2 linked regions of the Canis lupus familiaris genome follow. The protein of the gene in region 1 purifies or fractionates together with the protein of each later gene. This does not show direct contact. Links are inferred from orthologs where the notes say so. Each region holds a gene or a part of one and is shown in the gene's direction. Other genes may lie near its edges.

Evidence for each region.
Region 2: the proteins of CCNL1 (region 1) and CSNK2A2 purify together in Homo sapiens (affinity purification with mass spectrometry; 4 studies listed by BioGRID and IntAct, with this or other methods). This does not show direct contact. The link is inferred for Canis lupus familiaris from reciprocal best matches to the Homo sapiens genes CCNL1 and CSNK2A2.

Annotation. Positions count from the first base shown.
Region 1 is NC_049244.1:51,192,826-51,197,183, reverse strand, and holds the end of CCNL1 (cyclin-L1), read left to right. Parts: intron 1-214; coding exon 215-314; intron 315-420; coding exon 421-525; intron 526-605; coding exon 606-747; intron 748-1,194; coding exon 1,195-1,306; intron 1,307-1,462; coding exon 1,463-1,561; intron 1,562-2,103; coding exon 2,104-2,452; 3' UTR 2,453-3,016; downstream 3,017-4,358. UniProt on the Homo sapiens protein: Involved in pre-mRNA splicing. Functions in association with cyclin-dependent kinases (CDKs). Inhibited by the CDK-specific inhibitor CDKN1A/p21. May play a role in the regulation of RNA polymerase II (pol II).
Region 2 is NC_049223.1:57,630,092-57,635,225, forward strand, and holds the start of CSNK2A2 (casein kinase II subunit alpha'), read left to right. Parts: upstream 1-1,670; 5' UTR 1,671-2,404; intron 2,405-5,134. Other genes in the region: CCDC113 (coiled-coil domain-containing protein 113), read right to left, coding at 139-262, 1,243-1,466.

The DNA of each region.
Region 1 (4,358 bases):
GTCATTTATAGGAAAACTGGAGAATGGTTCTAGTGTTAAATTCTTACCTCTTACTGATTTTTGAGTTTAAGAATTGTTATATGCTAGAATATGAGGATATGAATATAAATATGAGAAGAAAAAAGAATAAAGTAGATTGAGTCTCCAATTTTATGTAAGCTTCAGACTGGCTGTTTTGTTTATGTACAAAGCTTATGGTTGAAATATTTTTCAGGAATTATATGAATGACAGTCTTCGAACCAATGTATTTGTTCGATTTCAACCAGAGACTATAGCATGTGCTTGTATCTACCTTGCAGCTAGAGCTCTTCAGGTAGGTATATATAGCCTGTTTTTTCTATAGGATAAAACACAAGACTTAGCAGTCCTCCTAATAAAAACTGAAATTTGATCTAAACCATTCTGTTTTTATGGTTTAGATTCCATTACCAACTCGTCCCCACTGGTTTCTTCTTTTTGGTACTACGGAAGAGGAGATCCAGGAAATCTGCATAGAAACACTTAGGCTTTATACCAGAAAAAAGGTAGTTGTTTACGCATGTTTAAGTGCTAAGAGTCTAAACTAGTATAAGGGGAAAATACTTACTTCATTTTCTTCCATTAGCCAAACTATGAATTGCTGGAAAAAGAAGTAGAGAAAAGAAAAGTAGCCTTACAAGAAGCCAAATTAAAAGCAAAGGGTTTGAATCCCGATGGAACTCCAGCCCTTTCAACCCTTGGTGGATTTTCTCCAGCCTCTAAACCATGTAAGATATATTCAGAATTGAAATGACTGGGCACTGAAGGTGTCTGGTTATTAGAAAGCTTTAGCATTTAGGGGCACCTGGGTGGTTCAGTCAGTTGAGCATCCGACTCTTGATTTTGGCTCAAGGCATGATCTCAGCCTGACAGGCTCTGTTCTTAGTGCTGAATCTGCTTGAGATTTTTTTCTCCACCGTCCCCTCTCTTCCTGCCCCCCCTCGGCCCTAAATAAAGAAGTAGATAAATCTTCTTAAAAAGAAAGCTTTAGCAGTGGCATAGAAACAATGCTAGAAGAATCTGTTACTGTTTTTTCTCATGTTAGTCAACTCAAGATCATACTTGAAAGCAGGGTACTTGAGTTATATTTAGAAACAACTTTTTGGCCCTCTGTTAAATCCAATAGGTAACATGACTTTGTGTTATTGGGTTGTTTTTGTTTTTTTTTTTTTAAGCATCACCAAGAGAAGTGAAAGCTGAAGAGAAGTCACCAGTGTCTGTCAATGTGAAGACAGTCAAGAAAGAACCTGAAGACAGACAACAGGCTTCCAAAAGCCCTTATAATGGGTGAGTGTCCTTGAGTTAGAAAACTGGTCTAAGGAATCTTTTATGTTTTTAATTTCTAACACACTAAACATGTACCTAAAATAATGGGTTTGTGTGTGTGTGTGTGTGTGTTTTGTTTTTGTGTTTTTTTTTTTTTTTTTTTTTTTTTTTTTGAAGAGTAAGAAAAGACAGCAAAAGAAGTAGAAATAGCAGAAGTGCTAGTCGGTCAAGATCAAGAACGCGATCACGTTCTAGATCACATACTCCAAGAAGACAGTAAGTAAATATTCTCCTAGAGAAAGGAGTCTTATTTGGAGTTAGGTTCCTACTTTTTAAAAAATTTAATGTAGATGTCGCAGTTGGGCTACATTTAATATTTTAACATGAGGTAAATTACGAGAAAGGAGTTTGGAAGTATGTCCTGCCTATACATGGCTTTTCTGTTTTGGGGTGGTGTAGCTTATGAGCTATTCTGTTTTTGCCCATATTTTGGAGAGGTGTAGGGGCTGACCACAAAGTGCTATGGAAAGCTGTAATACCTTGTTTATAATGTGAAAAGAGTTTTGTTCAATTTCAGTTAGAAAATATTAATATTTTATTAACTGTTAATAACCAATACTCAAGTTGGCCAAAGAGTCTTCCCAAGTTAGCTTTGTAATTAGTTTGCTAGCTGCTTATGTCTGTTCAGTGGCTCTTTTGAGCATGTGTGAGATATTCAACAAAAAGCATAGTTTTGTTTTGAAGCTATTATAAGCACCACCAAAATAATTTGGTCCCAGTAGAGACTGAATCTAAACCTCAAATTTTTATTATCTAAGTTATAATAATAGGCGGAGCCGGTCTGGAACATACAGCTCAAGATCAAGAAGCAGGTCCCGCAGTCACAGTGAAAGCCCAAGAAGACATCATAATCATGGTTCTCCTCACCTTAAGGCCAAGCACACCAGAGATGATTTAAAAAGTTCAAATAGACATGGTCATAAAAGGAAAAAATCTCGTTCTCGATCTCAGAGCAAGTCTCGGGATCACTCAGATGCTGCCAAGAAACACAGGCATGAAAGGGGACATCATAGGGACAGGCGTGAAAGATCTCGCTCCTTTGAGAGGTCCCATAAAGGCAAGCACCATGGTGGCAGCCGCTCAGGACATGGCAGGCACAGGCGCTGACTTTCTTCTTTGAGCCTGCATCAGTTCCTGGCTTTGCCTATCTATGGTGTGATGTATGGACTCATAATCAAAAACATTAAAACAAACTGATTAGGATATGATTTCTTAAAACCCTCTAGGTCTCTAGAAACACTGAAGACATTTTGTTTTGGAAAAACTATGTGTTTTTTTTTTTTTGTTTTGCTTTTTGGGGGTTTTTTGTTTTCTTGGCTTTTTTTTTTTTTTTTTCTTTCCCCTTTTTGGTTTTTGTTTTGGTTTTTGTTTTGTTGTTTTTTTTTTGTTTTTGTTTTTTTTTTGCACATTAAAATGCCCTAGCAGTATCTAATTGAAAACCATGGTCAGGTTCAATTGTACTTATTATAGTTGTGTATTGTTTATTGCTATAAGAACTGGAGCGTGAATTCTGTAAAAATGTATCTTATTTTTATACAGATAAAATTGCAGACACTGTTCTATTTAAGTGGTTATTTGTTTAAATGATGGTGAATACTTTCTTAACACTGGTTTGTCTGCATGTGTAAAGATTTTTACAAGGAAATAAAATACAAATCTTGTTTTTCTAAACTGCTTCAAATATCTTATTTAAATAAATTATTAAAAAAAGTAAAATTTTAATAGTAAAGTGCTTGTACTGATTTTCTGACAAATTTGCTCTTTTCCTCCATTAGCTATGGTTTGAGATTATTAAATACAGTTTTTACCTGCAGTGGGAGCTATTGTAAAAGTCTTAGCCTTATATATGGAAAAAAAAAAGGGTTGTGTGCAGCAATGTAATATTAAATGTTACATTGTAGCACTAAGCCAGTCTTATAATGAAATCTATTTGCACATAAATAGTATTTATGGTACCATTTCTTAAATGAGCTGCCCTCTTGAACAAATGAAAACGTAACATGACAAATCAGATCCAATTGTTGACTTTTAAGGTTTTTCTTTAAATTAAATTAGATATTTAATGAGGATTTTTATCTAAGCTAGGAAGATTCAGTAATAAAAGCTCTCCCCATCCCCCCACTTGGCTGGGGCTGATAAAGTCTGACCACTGAAGTTTTGTTGTAAAAGCCAGAAGTCCTATATCCAAATGAATACTTTGTAAGTTATTCATGTTGAGAGTTATTTTCCCAATAATTTGGAAGTGAATTTAGAAATCTTTTTTAAAGATTTTATTTAGCAGGGTACAGGGCGGGTGGTGACAAAGACAGGACACACACACAAAGGGAGAGAGAACCTCAAACGGATTCCACATGGAGCCAAAAGCTGGGCAGACCCACAACCTGTAGATCCTGACCTGAGCCAAAATCAAGAGTAGATAGATGTTCAACTGACTGAGCCACTCAGGAGCCCCTGAATTTAGAAATCTTAAAGGACATATTTTATAGTTAAAATAAGTTTTCCATTAATTTTTTAATACAGCTTGATACTTTATTTGTCCACTGGACTTGGCTCCAAATGATTTGCTGTTTCAAAAGATGAAATACACGCAGAAAGATACAAAGATTCACTGCCACTTAAGAGTTTAAAAGAAAAAAACTGAAGATAATTTCAAAAACCTATAAAGCATGGTCACCAGTGGTGGGCACCAGGGCTGGAAAAAGAAAGCCAACTAAGGCAACTACATTGAAGGAGACAAGACTCCCTTGGATTTTAAAATGTTGGGTGTGCCACTTTATTATTATTATTTTTTTAAGATTTTATCTATTCCTGAGAGAGGCAGAGACAGGGAGAAGCAGGCTCTACGGAGGGGAGTCCGACGTGTGGGGACCTGTGGGACTCGGGTCTCCAGGATCGTGCCCTGGGCCAAAGGCGGCGCCAAACCGCTGAGCCCCCGGGCTGCCCTGGGTGGGCCCCTTTAATAAATCAGTTGTTGTAACTAGAAAACAAGCCCGACCTCAATAAAGAGCGACTT
Region 2 (5,134 bases), on another chromosome or scaffold:
GGAGGGAAGGAAGAATCAAAAGTAGAATAGGGAGAGAATTATATGCCAAAGAGGACATACCAGAGGCAGATACACAAATACTACTTGTATCTAAAGGGACAAAGAGAATAAAAGAATTATTAGATCTCCACAGTATACCTGTGCAAATTCGGCTCCTGATATAATTTCTGATAATCGTGGATGTCGCTGATCCCTGGGCTCCAGTTTATTATAATATTTCTCAAACATCTCTGTCTCAGTTTTGAGAGCAGAGTTTCCATAGCTGCAAGACAGAGGGTACCTGAGTAAGTTCTACTTATAAGAGTTCAAACCCCAAATAACTAGTATTTAATACTTAGCAGCTACCTTTACCTTCTGCAAAACACTCAACTGCTTGGTACCTCAAATTCCTCATCTGTAAAATGAGAATAGTAACAGTGCCTATTACGAAGAGTTGCAATAAGAAAGGCAAAGCCTTTAGAACAGTGCCTTGCACATAGTAAGTTCTATTTAAATATCTGATTTTGGGACGGCTCAGAGCCTGGGTGGCTCAGTGGTTGGGCGGCTGCCTTCGGCTCTGGTGGTGGTCCCGGGATCCGGGATCGAGTCCCACATTGGGCTCCCTGCATGAAGGCCGCTTCTCCCTCTGCCTGTGTCTCTGCCTCTGTGTGTGTGTGTGTGTGTGTGTGTGTCTCTCATGAATAAATAAATAATTAAAAAAATAAATATCTGATTTTTTTCAAATGTCTAATAAGCCACAAAACTGAAAAAACTGGCATTATGTTGAAAATCGTAGCTGAGATGAAGCTACAAATTCCACTTTCCAGTATCTTCGAACCCATTCATGAAATTCCTTCTGAATTACTACATGCTTGAAGTTACTACATATCCACAATCTTCGGATGTTTGCTTTGGTTTATGTTTCTCAGCTGTTCCTTCCAGCACCAGAGAGATGAAGTATCCACAAGCAGCGTATTGTAAATGGTGGAAAGGCTCGGAATAAACTGGGGATGACAAACCTAGTTTATCCTGTAATATGCGAAGATTTTGACCTTTTTAACTTTTACATATTTAAAACATACAAGTTATGTGTGCACGATATATATGAATATATGCATATTGGATAATACTGAGGGAATTCCTGTGGGCTAAAATTTAAGATTAGTGGAAAATGCTCAATGGAAAGCCGGAGGAATCAAAACACCTTTTTCCCCCCAGCACGTCATGCCGCATTCCAAAAACTGTAGCTATTAATAAGATTACCTCAGTTCTGACCTCAACTGTTCACGGACATAGTGAAGTAACAGCCGCTCCGCTGCTACAACCGGATACTCTGGGAGACCGGGAAGTTGTACAGTTGACCTCTGAACCTCCGGGGCCCCCGGCCTACCTGAGCTCTTCCACCAGCTCACACAGCTGGATAGTCGGCAGCTCGTTCTCCTCCCCGCCCTGCAACTCGACGACGGCGGTCTCGGAGTCCTCCTCATCAGTCATCTCTGCGCCCCAGCAGCCTCGCCAATGCCGCGAGAGACCGAGGGCGCCGAGCGCGAGCGGCCGAGCGTCACGCGGCCGGCGGCCACCTCGCGGCGCGTTGCCGGAGCGACCGGACGCGTGCGTGAGGGGCGGGGCCTCCGCCGGCTCCGCGCGGCGCCGAGCGAGCGGCCTCCCACCCTCCTTCAGCAGCCGTCGTCACCACGCCGCTACCTGCCGCTGCTGCTTGCGCCGCGCTTCCTCCGCCGTTGGCGCTGTGCCAAGCACGGTTGAGGCAAGTCCTTGCAACGCTCTCGTAACATTCTCTCTTATTCTGCTTATTCTCCAAGTAGAGGAAACAGACCCGGAAAGTTCATTTGACTTGTCGGAGTGTCTTCCTTCCCCCGCCTCGCTGTGAGGCCGCTATGTCTGCTCACCCCCTGGTGCTTCACCCACACTAACTGCAGTTTCTCTCAGACACCGATATCCTGCATTCCTAGAAGGGAAAAGCTGACCGATTATTAAATGGTATAAATTCAAGAGACAACCCTAAATAGGCACCGAAACAGCCATTATGTGCTGGGGGAACGTAAGGAACAGACAATCCTGAATCCAGCTCTCGCTTCAGATTAAGTGAGGGAAAGAGCCCCTAAACCCACTGTTGCAAGTGGAGTGACGAGAGCAACAATGTGGTGCCTCACAGTTTTTCACAGCCATCATTTCATTTAATCCTCAAAACAGTCTTATGAAATTAGTATTACTGTCTTCATTTCACGGATCAGGAACTGAGCAGTAGCTTGGCGGAGTTGGTCGTGGTCACACAGGAATGGAATCAAGGTCTGGCCGAACCCGAAGCTCCTACAGTCAGGTTCTACACTGATGTGTGCCCCGCAAGGACCCGCAGGGCGGCAGCCTGGCGTTCTGTCTGCCCGCCCTGGGATGGAAGAAGGCCAAGGTGAGCAGCCTTCTCCCGGTCAGGTGCGCGCTGGATGTGGTTAGAAGGCAAGCTATAATAAACTGCTTAGAGTGGAGGTCAGCCACCTCCTCCCATAAGGGACGCACCTTAGCATCAACATACAGTTACTAAACTCCAAAGAAAGATTTTTTGTTTTGGGGGGTTTGGATTTTGGTTATTTTGCATAGGGTGCAGATTTGGGGCCAGAGTGGAATACTGGAGATGATGGCAGAGAGGCTGAGCCCTGCCATCACCTTCTTCTCTCTGGTAGGCCTCTCTAGGAGCAATGCAGACCACGTTTAGAGATACTGAAGATGTTCATATACCAGGTGATACAAATAGAGGCCCGCCCCAAGAGGGCCAGAAAGGACTCTGTGCGGCAGGTCCACACAAGTTCCATAAGGTTAGAAGTATTGATGGTAGGGAAAGATGCAGTGTGAAGCTTAAAGTAAGATCTAGTTGAGGGACCACAATTGAGGACACAGGATTTTGCAAAAACACCATGCAGTCCACAGGAGGATATTTCACACCGTTTGAAAACCAGCTCCTGGCCTGGTTTTAGACCCTCATAGGGACAGAACGCTCAAGCATGCATCCAGGGGATCCCCGGGTGGCTCAGCAGTTTAGCACCAGCCTTTGGCCCAGGGCATGGTCCTGGAGTCCCAGGATGAAGTCCCACATCAGGCTCCCTGCATGGAGCCTGCTTCTCTCTCTCTCTGCCTCTCTCTCTCTCTCTATGTCTCTCATGAATAAATAAATAATTTTTTTATAAAAAGCATGCATCCAGCCCTGCTCATCGTGATGTGAGTCCTGTTGGACCCACCGAGGTATAAAGTTGGACAGGCCCAGCTTCAGTCCATTGCAAAATGGAAATGTTCTGTCCAGGATCGAGTCCCAGAAGGACCAGGGAGCATGAGTAAGCTGCATGAGCAGGAAGTCCAGACCTACTTGTCATCCACCACACTCACACCCATTTACACTCATGACCATATTAAGAGAGGGGACAGGATCACAACCAGCTAAAAAGGAGGAAAAAGCCTGAACTTGGTTTAGAGGTGGGCTGGTTTGGAATGTGAGTACAAGCCCAACACGGAGGGTGGCTGCATCACAACCACATTCATGGAAGGCTCTGAAAGACAGTAGAGGAGGAAAATCTTTTCACAGGGCAGAGCTGTGAGTGGCACCTGGTCATCTATTTTGTATGGAAGGAGAAGTGACCTCAGGTGAGAAGTGGTTACAGGGACTCATCTAAGGGGGAACTTTGGCTTAGGGACTCCCCATCAGCCTGGCTGAAATGCTGTTAGATGCTATCATCTGAGAAATTTCCTCTCCAATCCTCCCTCTTTTCTTTCCCAAGTATGAGACCTGTACTGTGGCCTGAACACTCTCCCTATCTACTCCAGTTTCATCTTCCTTGTCCACCACAGGCATTTCCTCCATTAAATAAATTTCACAAGTCTAATTCCACCTTGGCTTAGAGGACCTGAACTGACACAAATAATAAATTTCAATCCTAAAGATATTAAAATATAGTAACATAGCCTGTGTATGAACTAAAATCTGCATTTGCCAAACAAAAATACCTTGCTGTTCACACTCTGTTTTGCTGTATTACATTTTTTAAATTGTGGTAAAAAACACAACATAAAATTTAACATCTTAGCCATTTCTAAGTGTATAGTCCAGTAGCGTTTAGTATAGTCACGTTGTTGGACAACCAACCTCCAGAGCTTTTTTACATTGCAAAACTGAAATTCTGTGCCCATCAAACAATAACCCTCCCTTCCTACCCGCCCCCAGCCTCTGCCAACCACCATTCTACTTTCTGTCTCCAAGCACTTTGTGACTGCTTTCAATTCCTCAAATAACTCAATCAGAGGGGCCCCTGGATGGCTCAGTTGGTTAAGTGACTGCCTTTGGCTCAGGTCATGATCCCGGAGTAGTGAGATGGAGCTCTGCATTGGGCTCCCTGCTCAGCAGGGAATTTGCTTCTCCCTATCCCTCTCCCTCTCTCTGTTGATCTCTCTCTCTCTCCTTCTCTGTGTGTGTGTGTGTATGCTCTTGCTCTCTCTCTCTCTCACTTGCTCTCTCTCTCAAATAAATAAAATCTTAAAAAATAATAAACTCAATCAGAAAGTATTTGTTTTTTGTGACAGGCTTTTTCACTTTAGCATGTTCTCAAGGTTCATTCCCAGGTAGCACGTGTCAGAGTTTCCTTCGTATTGAAGGCTGAAAAATATTCTATTGTACATACATAACACATTTTGCTTCTCCATTCATCTGTCGATGGAGACTTGGGTTGCTTTAAAATTTAAACACAAATAAAAACAACAGTGCTTTAAAATTTAAACACAAATAAAAATTTCAAAACTTATTAAGTTGTATGTTGTTCAATATTTAAATATGTGCAGTGTATTGTACGTCAATTATACCTTAGTAAAGCTGTAAAACAAGCAAGCAAACAAACACAGTCTCTTCTCTACAGCCTTATACATCAAAGTACCTACTTAGTAGCTGCACACAAGTGTGGAGTGAGCATGTCAAACTCCTCCCTCCAAATCTGCTTTTCACCCATTCTTCTCCATCTCAGTAACTGGCAACTCCATCCTCTTAGGGACGCAGGCCAGAAAACTGGGAGTAATCACTGGCTAACTCTTGACTCCCCTCTTTTTCTTGGCCCTACATTGGATCTGTGAGCAGAGCCCATTGGCTGTGCATTCAGAATGAACC